Cricetulus griseus: one gene and its partners. The protein of the gene in region 1 purifies or fractionates together with the protein of each later gene. This does not show direct contact. Links are inferred from orthologs where the notes say so. Each region holds a gene or a part of one and is shown in the gene's direction. Other genes may lie near its edges. The genes, in order: Stx12, Nsf and Gosr1.

Region 1 (3,651 bases):
ACGGATGCAAAGTGACCATAAGTGAGAGAATAAATGGTCCAGTGGGAGAACTGATTTTTTGTTTTTGTTTTTGTTTTTTTTAAAGATCTTATTTATTACGTATACAACATTCTGCTTCCATGTATATCTGCACACCAGAAGAGGACACCAGATCTCATAATGGATGGTTGTGAGCCATCATGTGGTTGCTGGGAATTGAACTCAGGACCTCTGGAAGAGCAGTCAGTGCTCTTAACCTCTGAACCATCTCTCCAGCACAGTCACATTTTTCTTGACTTTATTTTTGCTTGTAAAGTTCTATTCTTGATCACTGGAGAGATGGTTCAGTGGTGAAGACATGGGTTCAGTTCCCAGCACTGAGATGGTGATTCACAACTGTCTATAGCTTCATTTTCATGGTATCCAACTCTCATTTCTGGCCTCTGTGGGCATTGCTCACATGTAGTGCACAGGCATGCATGCAGGCAAATCACCCATATACGTAAAATAATAAAGTAAAAATTTTATTCTCTGGGGCCAGCAGGATGGTTCAGCAAGTAAAGAAAAGTGCTTGCCATCAAGCCAGGGATCTGAGTTTGATTTTTGTAACTTATATAGTAGAAGGAAAAATCTAACTCTGGAAAGTTATTTCTAATGTCAGCATATTTCACATGCATCATGGCACCCCTGTGCCCACAAGCATACACACACACAAATGCACACACAGATAATAAACAAAAGTAATTTTTTAAAGTTTGATATGTGTGTGTGTGTATATATGTACATATGTTTATTTATTTTTTTCCCAAGACAAGGTCTCAGGCTGTCCTCAAACTCACAGAGATCTGCCTGCCTCTCCCTAGTGCTGGGATTAAAGGTGTGTGCCACCATCAGGTTCTCTATCTTTAAAGTCAACTGAGCTACATTACTCGTTTCCACTCTTAGACGCTGTGAAGTGAGAGAGTGACTGCTGTCACAGGGAGCAAATTCAGGGAGAGATGACCTGTCTGCATATGCTAGTGTTTCTGGGATGGTCTGGCTTCCTCTGCTGTCTCTCATGTTTTCTAATCCTAGCTGTCTACTTAAAGTGAAAAAAACGATGTGGTATCCCAGCCATTAAGGCTGCTGCAGTAATAGACCATAGACTAGATAGTTCATTAGCAAGCAAAATTTATTTCTTATAGTTCTCAAGGCTGAGGGGTGGTTGATCAAGGCTCTGGCATATACAGTGTCTAATGAGGGCCCTCTTTTTCATAGATAACATTTGGTTTTTGTTTTCCTTTTGGAATGGTCTTACTATCCTGCAGATCCATCTGCCTCAGTTACCTTAGTGCTGGGATTAAATGAGTATGTCCTTATGCTAGGCAGCTGATGCTTTCTTTTGGGGGGAGGGGAGACTGGTTTTGAGACAGGGTTTCTCTGTGGCTTTGGAGCCTGGCCTGGAACTCTGTAGACCAGGCTGGCCTTGAACTCACAGAGATCCTCCTGCCTCTGCCTCCTGAGTGCTGGGATTAAAGTGAGCGCCACCAAGGCCCAGCTAGTTGATGCTTTCTTATTGTATCCTCTCTTGGTGGAAGAGGTAAGTAGTTAGTTCTCTGGTGCCTCGTAAGGGGAATTAATGCTTTCACAAAAGGCCCACACATGCTAATCACTTTCTACTACCTCCTAATAACATCACTTGGGGGCTAGTATTTCAACATGAATTCAGACCATAGCCTATGACTTCTCTGTCACCCCTTAAAATCTTTGTAGAAATGGCCAGAGATTAGAGGAAACCATGATGGGAAGAACTTTTTATTTATTTATTATTTCTAAAGTATCACTTTTTTTTTTTCTTAGGGTTTCTCTGTAATTTTGGAGCCTGTCCTGCAACTTGCTCTGTAGACCAGGCTGGCCTCGAACTCACAAAGATCTGCCTGCCTCTGTTTCCCAATTGCTGGTTATCAAAGACGTGCACCACCACCGCCTGGCTCCATAGCATGACTTATATTTTATGTTCTTCCCTCTTGAATTTGCTTCTCTCTCCTTCCTTCCTTCTATCCTAGTATGTTGCAAACTGCTGGATTCAAATGCTGCTCCTATACCAGCCTCAGAGGAGCTGGGACTAGTGGTGAAGGCCACTGTACCCAGCATCGAGCTTCTTTATGTGTATTTTTTTATTGTGATTTTTTTTTTTTTTTTTTTTTGGTGTTAGATATTGAGCCCAGTATCTGGCACAAGAGGTAAGTGTTCTAAACAGCAGAGGGAAAAGCTATCAGGCATAAAATCCACTTTATTTATTTATTTATTTTGGTTTTTTGAGACAGGGTTTCTCTGTGTAGCTTTGGAGCCTATCCTGGCACTCGCTCTGGAAACCAGGCTGGCCTCGAACTCACAGAGATCTGCCTGCCTCTGCCTCCCGAGTGCTGGGATTAAAAGCGTGCACCACCAATGCCCGGCTCACTTTTTTTTTTTTTAAAGATTTATTTATTATGTATACAATCTTCTGCCTGCATGTCTGCCTGTTGGCCAGAAGAGGGCACCATATCTCGTAACAGATGGTTGTGAACCACTATGTGGTTTCTGGGAATTGAACTCAGGACCTCTGGAAGAGCAGTCAGTGCTTTAAATCTCTGAGCCATCTCTCCAGCCCCAGAAAGAACCCACTTTTGGACAAGAGATTAGGAATAGATCTTTGGAGTTTTTTTTCTAGGTATATAGGAAGCTGTTTCATGTAACCACCCTAGTCAGTGGACTATGGTAGGAACTGACCATGCAGAGCTCCTGGGGAGTGGTGAGACGTTTAAGTGAGTTCAGTGTATTAAAGCCATTAGGACTGGATGTAGGTAGTAATTACTCCTGTGTTTCTATCAGAATGCCGACATGCTTTTCTTCCCAAACAGCTGAAATTCCTGGCCTGTGCTTCCTTCAGCAGGTGTCATTGAGCATCTTTCTGCTCAGTGGAACTGCTTCAGTAATGAGGGTTTGTGAGCACAGGCATTGAAGCGCCTGTTTGAATGGCCCTCCCTTCCTTCCTTGCGCTGGGAGTCCCCGAGCGTGAAGTAATAGTGTGAGAGCTCTCGAGAAGCCATGGCATCCTGACACTTGTCTTCTCTCTTAGGCAACAGTTACAGCACTCCACAAATCAGCTCGCCAAGGAGACAAATGAGTTGCTAAAGGAATTAGGGTCTTTGCCCCTACCCTTGTCTGCATCAGAGCAGGTAGGTATCTTCTGTTTTGTTTATTAATAGAAAAGGACTTTATTCTGATAGAGTAGTGGGATGTGGAACAAAAGCTCTAGGAGGGCTCTGGTCTTGATAGATTTCTTTGAACTATAATTTCCTTACCACGTGCTTTAGTTTCAGTTCTGTTGTGATAAACTACTACAACAAAAAGCAACCTAAAGGAAAAGGTTTGGTTTTTTGTTTGTTTTGTTTTGTTGGTTTTTTTTTAGTTCACAATTCCAGGTTACAGTCTATTGTGGGAAAATCAAGGTAGCAGAACTTGAAGGCACTGGTCACATCTCATCCGCAGTCGAAGGAGAGAGAAATGAGTGCTTGCTTGTTCTTTTCCACATGTGTGCCCAGCTCTGCTTCTCCACCCTCCCACAGTTCACGATCTCCTGCCTAGGAAGTGATGCTGCCTACGGTGGGTTGGGTCCTCCTACACTAATCAGTTAAGGCAGTCTCCCGT
Region 2 (3,651 bases), on another chromosome or scaffold:
TCTGTCTAAAGAAAAACCCTACTTCCCATCACACTGCACCATGCTGAAACACTGTTGTGTTCACTTTGGTGTCTTTGGTTTAATATTTCTTGATTTACTGGTCCCTTGTCTATTGGCATCAGTAGGAAGGACCAGCTTCATTGTTGCTGCTTCTGAGTTATGGCATCTATGCCTTGTTTAGTTTTATTTGGAAAATCCTGGGGTTTTATGTGTGTTTTGCATACTCATTTACATACACAAATAAGTGGATTCTGCTCATTTAATTCAAGCTACCTCCAGTCTCCTCATTAGTCTTTTTTGGTGCACTGAAACACATCTTTCTCTCGGTAACCAGGGCCGCAAGCTTCTCATCATCGGGACCACCAGCCGCAAAGATGTCCTTCAGGAAATGGAGATGCTGAATGCCTTCAGCACCACCATCCACGTGCCCAACATTGCCACAGGAGAGCAGCTGCTGGAAGCTTTGGAGGTAAAGATGAGTCGCTGTTAGAATCTGTTTATCAGAAAGGAGTTGAGGCCTGAGATAATGCCGAAGGGTCCTCAGCCATAGCAACTGGCATTTAGTGGCACATCAAACTAGAATGCGGGACTCTGGGGTGTTACCTTCAAGGCTTTTCAGAAGCTAGAGGAAGATCAGGACACAAAGGAAAGCAGATAAACTTCTCATTCCTGGGTGTGGGCAGCACAGACTGCAGGGGTCAGTCACTCTCTTCCCAGAATTCAGTGCTTGCAGATGACACAGCGGGGACAGGGACAGGACCGGTGCAGTGTGGGGAGTCAGCACTGTTTCTTCATCATGACTGACAACACATTTTCTTTGCATTTAATAAACCAGAACAATGATTAAAGCTTTGGAACTACAAAACAGCTACCCAGACTTCCCAACTTTATTGCATAGAAATGTCTCCTTAGTCTTGGAAGCCTTTAATTTCAAAACTGAGTCTTTCAGTAAGTGTTGATTAATATTAATGTCCACAAGTGACTAGATGAGATCTGCTGGAAAATATGATGTAAGTTGTTCGGTGGAGGAGAGTCAGGGAGGCTTCTTAAGGTCCCAGCATGTAAGAGTTGCTGTGCTCCCCAGAGTACCTAGGAGTGGCTGTGTGCTCCCAGCAGAGCAGAAGTCCATATGACAAGTATTTCTGGGTCACTTGTTTGAGCAGCCTTTTATAGCTGGGATGGGTAAGAGAAAAAGTTAGTCTATTTTGACACATTTAACTTATATTTATTATGGATTGGAGCTGTTTTCCCCCAGCAAATATGTGTCTAAGTTTACTGGAGGTCTCTAGAAAAAAAAAAGCTTAAGACACGTCTCTTCCAGACAAGGTAATCTCAGCAACAGGGAAGCTAAGGCAGAAGAATTTCCATGAGTTTGAGGAGAGTCTGGGCTCTGGAATAAGACCTTGCCCTGTGTGGTCACAAATGACTAGGGAAGTCAGTTCAACCCAGTCAGGTAGCTCCTCCCACTCTTCACTTAAAGGTGAATGTGTTGGTATGTGAACTGTAAAAGTGTCTTTATTGTTGTTTATTGCTTTTGTAGCTTCTGGGCAACTTCAAAGATAAGGAACGCACCACAATTGCTCAGCAAGTCAAAGGGAAGAAGGTCTGGATAGGAATCAAGAAGTTACTAATGTTGATTGAGATGTCCCTGCAGGTAAGGCAACTCCTCTGTGTGAGTCACAGGAACCACCAGCAGGGCCTTCCTTCCTCTCCCAAGGCCCAGGGACACTGGTGCCACCCTTAATCTTCAGAAACAGATGAGAAGAGCACAGTGTGACTTTTAGTCTTGATGTGGAGAGTTATTAAGTCTAAAGATTAGAAGAGACTTCAAAAGAGCAATCTAGAAAATATGAGTGCCACGTCCACAGGTTGTCAGTGAATTAGCCCAGGTCACACACTCTCTACTGTGGTGCCCTACGTCAGGGCCAGTCAATGCCTGCACAGACCTGGAGACGTGTAAGGGCAGACGCAGTGACCTGTACAGGTTAGACATGGCTTCTGTGTGTGTCCCCTGACTGAACTCCTAGATATGTCTTTTCTTTTCTTTTCTTTTCTTTTTTTGTTGTTGTTTTGTTTTGTTTTGTTTTCTTGTTTTTTTGAAACTGTGTAGTCCTGGCTGTCCTGGAGCTTTCTGTGTAGATGGGCTGGCCTCAAACTCAGAGATCCTCCTGCCTCTGCCTCCCTAGTCTGGGATTAAAGGCGTGCACCACCATGCCCAGCTCCCTAAGTTTCATGCAGACTACTGTAGGGTTAAAGCACCCAGATTCCCATAGACAACTCAGCCCAAACCTGCCACTATGGTCATCCCCACAGGGAGATGAGACTGCTTTGGAACTTCCTTGTATCTAAGGCAACTCCTTCCCTTCTTCTGGAACTCCTTACCTCCATATGCGTGTACATGTGCACACTCATGTACATCACACATGTGTGCAGACTAAGGTCTGTGTGTCACACCCGGGCTGCCACCCACTGTGCATGGCCCCAGGGCCAGCTCCGAATGTAACTAGAGTGCTCAATAAATCTCCCTCTAATGAATGAATGGGTACGTGAATGAATGAATGAATGAATGCGTGAGTGATCAATCCCCAGACTTGAGTAAAAAGGTTGGAGTTATCCTAAGCATTGTGTGTCACTGGGCAGCCCTGTCCTTCCCAGTGTGAACAGCGGGGGTTCCTCGCTTCACATTTACAGCTGAAGGATGCTCTAGGACTAATAAATAAGAAGTATGGAGAGAATTGTTTTAATTCTCTCTGATAAACTTAATTTAAAATTAAATTTTTGTGGTTTTTAGAAACCAAAAGTTTCCCGAGCTTCCAGCAACTGTTTTTAAGTCGATTTATGTATTTTGCATTATGGGCAGTAAATTAGAACTGTCGACTGAGCGCGGTGCTCAGGCTTACTCCTGGTAAATGCGTACATACAGGTGCATTGGCTCTGTCCCTGAAAAAAGATAAATCTGTCAGAAAGTCAGCTCTACCCTTCTCTTTTCAGTTTCGGGACAATCTTTTAAAATAATTGCATAGAAGAAACTATGCAAGTTTTTCTCCCCACCCCCTCTTCCTCCTCCTTTGATGCCTGCAGCTCAGTGATCAAGTTAATACCTCTTATGTGTGTGGGGTAGAAAGTGAGAGTGGGGCGTTTGGCCTAATCTCCAGCGACTGACACTCCATAGGCCTGGAGTTTGAACCCCTTCACGTCAAATGGATTCCGTGCAGCTGAGTGACTTCTCTTTAGATCCGCCTCAGGAGCCGAGCCTGAGTGGAGAGGCGTGTAGTTCAGCAGAATGGAAGAAGTCATGCTTTTGCTGCTCGCAGTACCCGATTTTGTTAAAACTTGCTCAGTGCTGAGGATCTGCTCTGACTGGATGTCACCTGAGGGAATAAAGTCATTTATCTAGATTACTTTTTTCCTCCCTTTCTCTTGACTTTTAATTCCATAGCTACAGGCAAGTCAGTAAGTCGTCCCTCACACATATTAAATATAGTTAATGGGCGAAGACTTGCATGTACTGACTACGGCGAGCTCCAGCCAGTTCCATTTTTTAGAAAGAACTTTGACAATTGATTCATGTGTAATTCTAGTCCCAAAGAGAGAAAATGGTTCTTTTGTTAGCTGTTCACACTTTTTCCTGGTTCTTTGTAGTCTGACCCC
Region 3 (3,651 bases), on another chromosome or scaffold:
ACCATGTGGTTTCTGGGAATTGAACTCAGGACTTCTGGAAGAGCAGTCAGTGCTCTTAACCTCTGAGCCATCTCTCCAGCCCAAATTGTAAAAATTCTTTAAAGATAGTTTTGTGTGCGTGCGTGTGTGTGTGTGTGTGTGTGTGTGTGTGTGTGTGTGTGTGTGTGTGTGTGCTTGTGTGCTTGTGTGCATGTGGGGGGGTGTGTACGCGCGTGAGCGTGCACGTGCGAAGCGTGCCAGAAGTCTAGGGTAAAAGAGGGGAGAGATTTTTCTACTCAGTGGTATAGTGGTTTTTGAGGAGGGGTCTCACTAGAACCTGGATCTTTCCAATTTAGCTAGGATGACCAGCCATTGAGCCCAAGGGCTCCTTTCTTCTCTGCCTTCTCACTGCTGAGATTGCAGGGGTACACTATCAACACCCATCTTTTTACAGCCTAACTGGGATCAGATAGTACTTTACTGGTAGATATCTCTCTCCCTTCCTCTCTCTTCTTCTTCCTCCCCCCCCCAACAAAGATTTAAATGTAGAAAAAGCATAAGAAAGGAGGAGAGGAAAGAAAAGCATCAAGTCCTGAATAGAGCCTAGATGAAATTTATAATTTCTGAGTAGTAAAGAGCTAAGGAAGATCTGATGTCAGAAACTACAAAAAAAAAAAATGGCTCATTTGTTTACTATGCACAGAAGTAATACAAATAAGAAAAACAAAAGGAAAATGGGCAGAAACTATAAACTTAATTGAAAACAAACTGAGGGTGTAGCTCAGTGGTGGAGCATGTGTTTTGCATTTGTAAAGTCCTGGGCTGGATCCCAACACTGAGGGGAAGGTGGGAATGGGGGCAAGGGTGTGATAAAAATAAGCCATATGCCTTTTTAAGTACACCACTGAGTAGAAAAATCTCTCCCCTCTTTTACCCTAGACTATTTGAAGTCATGATACGGTACTACGTGGTAGAATGCTTAGTGTTTTGAAATGTGTAACCTGATGAACATAGTCTACTACTTTAGAAGAATAAAAGAACATTAATAGTTTGTGTTGAAACTGGATGTCGATTTATTTCAGGATTATACACATGAATTCCATAAAACCAAAGCAAACTTTATGGCAATACGGGAAAGGGAAAATCTCATGGGATCAGTACGAAAAGATATTGAGTAAGTTACCTTTCATGTTACTGTATAAAATGTTTGTGTGGATTTAAGCTCTATCTGTGGTTAATTGCAAATTGAGTAGCAAAACCAGAATTTAGATTTTGGGGTTTTTGATTTCCATTCCATTGTCCTTTGTGCCTTGTTATAGTACTAGCTGAATCTACTTTGCCCTCTCCCAGTCTTCCCTTGCCAACCTTGCTCTTAAGTCCACCTTGAATGATCCCTTCCTGCTCACACTAAGAATGGCATGATGGCCAGTAACTGTCTATTTCCCCATCATTTGCTCCTCTCTGTTGCCCTGGAACTTATTTATTCTGATAGCTATCAACATCCCTGAAATTCTGAAACATTTGCATGTGGGCAGGAGTTTCCAGGTTTAATACAAAATCGAAACCTTATATGAAATTAAGGACTTTCAGCATTTTACAGTGATCTTCGTCCATAAGATTTGCTCTTTTCTTCTGTTCCTTCACATGATCCTTTTTGTAGGCATTCGTACAGTTCAGGAATTTTTAAAAAATTGTTCTTAAAGGCCAGTTGTGGTGGCCTAACTTAATCTCAGCACTCAGGAGGCAGAGGCAGGCACATCTCTATAAGTTCAAAGACAGCCTGTTCTATAGAGTGAATTCCAGGATAGCTAGGGCTACATGGAGACTCTGCCTCAAAAAGAAGGAGGAGGAGGAGAAGGAGGAGGAAGCGGAGGAGGAAGAGGAGGAAGAAGAAAAAAAAAGTGACAAAGAAAGTGTTCCTGATTCTTATTACTAATGGAAAGCAGGGAAATGGTAATATTGATAGAAGTAAATGTCATTTTTGCTAACTTTATTGTTTTGGCAATGAACATGGAATCCTGAAGTATGCCGAGATTGAACAGTTGGGTTTCAGTGTTCCTCAGGCTTTGGCTGGCCAGTGGCTGACACTACGGTGAAGTATAAAATGGTTTCAGTAGCTTTCTTGCCCCGTGTGCCATGTGCTAGTTAGTCTTAAGTTTTGCTTCTGTTGGAGAAAATGATGCAGAAGACAATACACAAAGGAAAGGTTAGGTCCCCTCATAAGAAGATTGGGTTGGTTCGGTGAAAAACGGAAAACCCCTAAATCTAAACTGGAGGAACATTTGTGTTTTATGTCTGTGATAGTATTTTTCAAGGGAAATGAAATGCATTATGTTCCAATAGTTTACTGGTCTCTTCTGCTATCACTAGGGTTAGTCCCTTAACCTGATGGTGCAGTATCTGCTAAATGTTCTTGCCTTTTCCTAATGTTGTTCTAGGTCATATAAAAGCGGGTCTGGAGTAAACAACAGGAGAACTGAACTGTTTTTGAAAGAACATGACCACCTTCGAAAGTGAGTACTACCTGATTTCCATGCTTGTAAAGACATTTATTTATAGTAAGGCCTTTGTGGGTGAGAATTTATCGCTGCTCCAAGTGGGTTCAGTGGAAATGGATGGCAGCTCATCAGCCATAATTAAAAGATCCCCTTTGAGAATTTTACTCTGTTCTTTGCCTGTTGTCTCTCTGCCTGCCTACTGCTATGTGGCTGTTATCCTTACTGCAAGTTATTAATGGGATCCGTAATAATAATGCTGATAATTTATGCTTGAATGGTCTCTTACCACTTATTTATTGAAGAAGATTTATAAAAGTTATTAAGACCAAAAATCAAATGGAAAAAACAAAACAAAAAAATTTGCTTCCCAAGATCTCAGCAGAAATGATTGGTGGCATATACATGCATTTTAAAACAAGTCCCCACATACTACTCTTGTGCCATCTATTTTTTACCATGATTTTTTTCCTTGTATTTTGTAGTAGAACTTGAGGATCAGAATAGTTGTCTCTGAGCTCAGCTTGTCAGCCCTTGAATATCCATAATAGTCAATGTTAGGATTAGTTTGCTACTGACTGTCATTAATTGGTTATGTCTGATAAGCTTAAGGTACTGTTGAATTTGTTTCCCTGTAAAGGCTACCACTTTAAATATAAACTGTTAAAATCAAGACACAAGAGGCTGGAGCAATAGCTCAGTAGTTAAGAATACCAGCTGCTCTTACAAAGAACCTGGGCTTAATTCCCAGCATCTATCTACATAGTGGCTCACAACTGTCTGTAACTGCAGTCCCAGGGAATCCAATGTCTTCTTCTGGACAACACAGGCCCAGCCACACATACACCCATACACATAAAAATGAAAAAAATATAGAGAGCAGGGTGTGGTGGTACATGTCTTCAATCCCAGCTACTTAGAAAAGAAAGTCAGAATGGTTGCTTTGTCCCAACAGTTCAAGACCAGTCTGGGCAACAGAGTAAGAGTGTATCTCAGCACATATGTGTAAATGCATGTACATGTACACACACATAGTGTTACCAAGTCTTGTACTTGGTGTTGAGGATTGAAGTCATGCTAGGCAAGTGCTCTTTCTGAACTATCCACTTGGCCAGTTAAGATCTTTTGTTTTGTTTTGTTTTTTGGTTTTATTATACATCATTGTGTGTGTGTTATG

What was found.
Region 2: the proteins of Stx12 (region 1) and Nsf purify together in Homo sapiens (co-immunoprecipitation; 4 studies listed by BioGRID and IntAct, with this or other methods). This does not show direct contact. The link is inferred for Cricetulus griseus from reciprocal best matches to the Homo sapiens genes STX12 and NSF.
Region 3: the proteins of Stx12 (region 1) and Gosr1 purify together in Homo sapiens (affinity purification with mass spectrometry; 3 studies listed by BioGRID and IntAct, counting the BioPlex papers as one, with this or other methods). This does not show direct contact. The link is inferred for Cricetulus griseus from reciprocal best matches to the Homo sapiens genes STX12 and GOSR1.

What each region holds. Positions count from the first base shown.
Region 1 is NC_048595.1:20,401,472-20,405,122, forward strand, and holds part of Stx12 (syntaxin-12), read left to right. Parts: intron 1-3,079; coding exon 3,080-3,179; intron 3,180-3,651. UniProt on the Homo sapiens protein: SNARE promoting fusion of transport vesicles with target membranes. Together with SNARE STX6, promotes movement of vesicles from endosomes to the cell membrane, and may therefore function in the endocytic recycling pathway.
Region 2 is NC_048600.1:116,869,000-116,872,650, reverse strand, and holds part of Nsf (vesicle-fusing ATPase), read left to right. Parts: intron 1-334; coding exon 335-469; intron 470-1,540; coding exon 1,541-1,654; intron 1,655-3,651.
Region 3 is NC_048600.1:90,189,239-90,192,889, reverse strand, and holds part of Gosr1 (Golgi SNAP receptor complex member 1), read left to right. Parts: intron 1-1,061; coding exon 1,062-1,153; intron 1,154-2,417; coding exon 2,418-2,492; intron 2,493-3,651. UniProt on the Homo sapiens protein: Involved in transport from the ER to the Golgi apparatus as well as in intra-Golgi transport. It belongs to a super-family of proteins called t-SNAREs or soluble NSF (N-ethylmaleimide-sensitive factor) attachment protein receptor.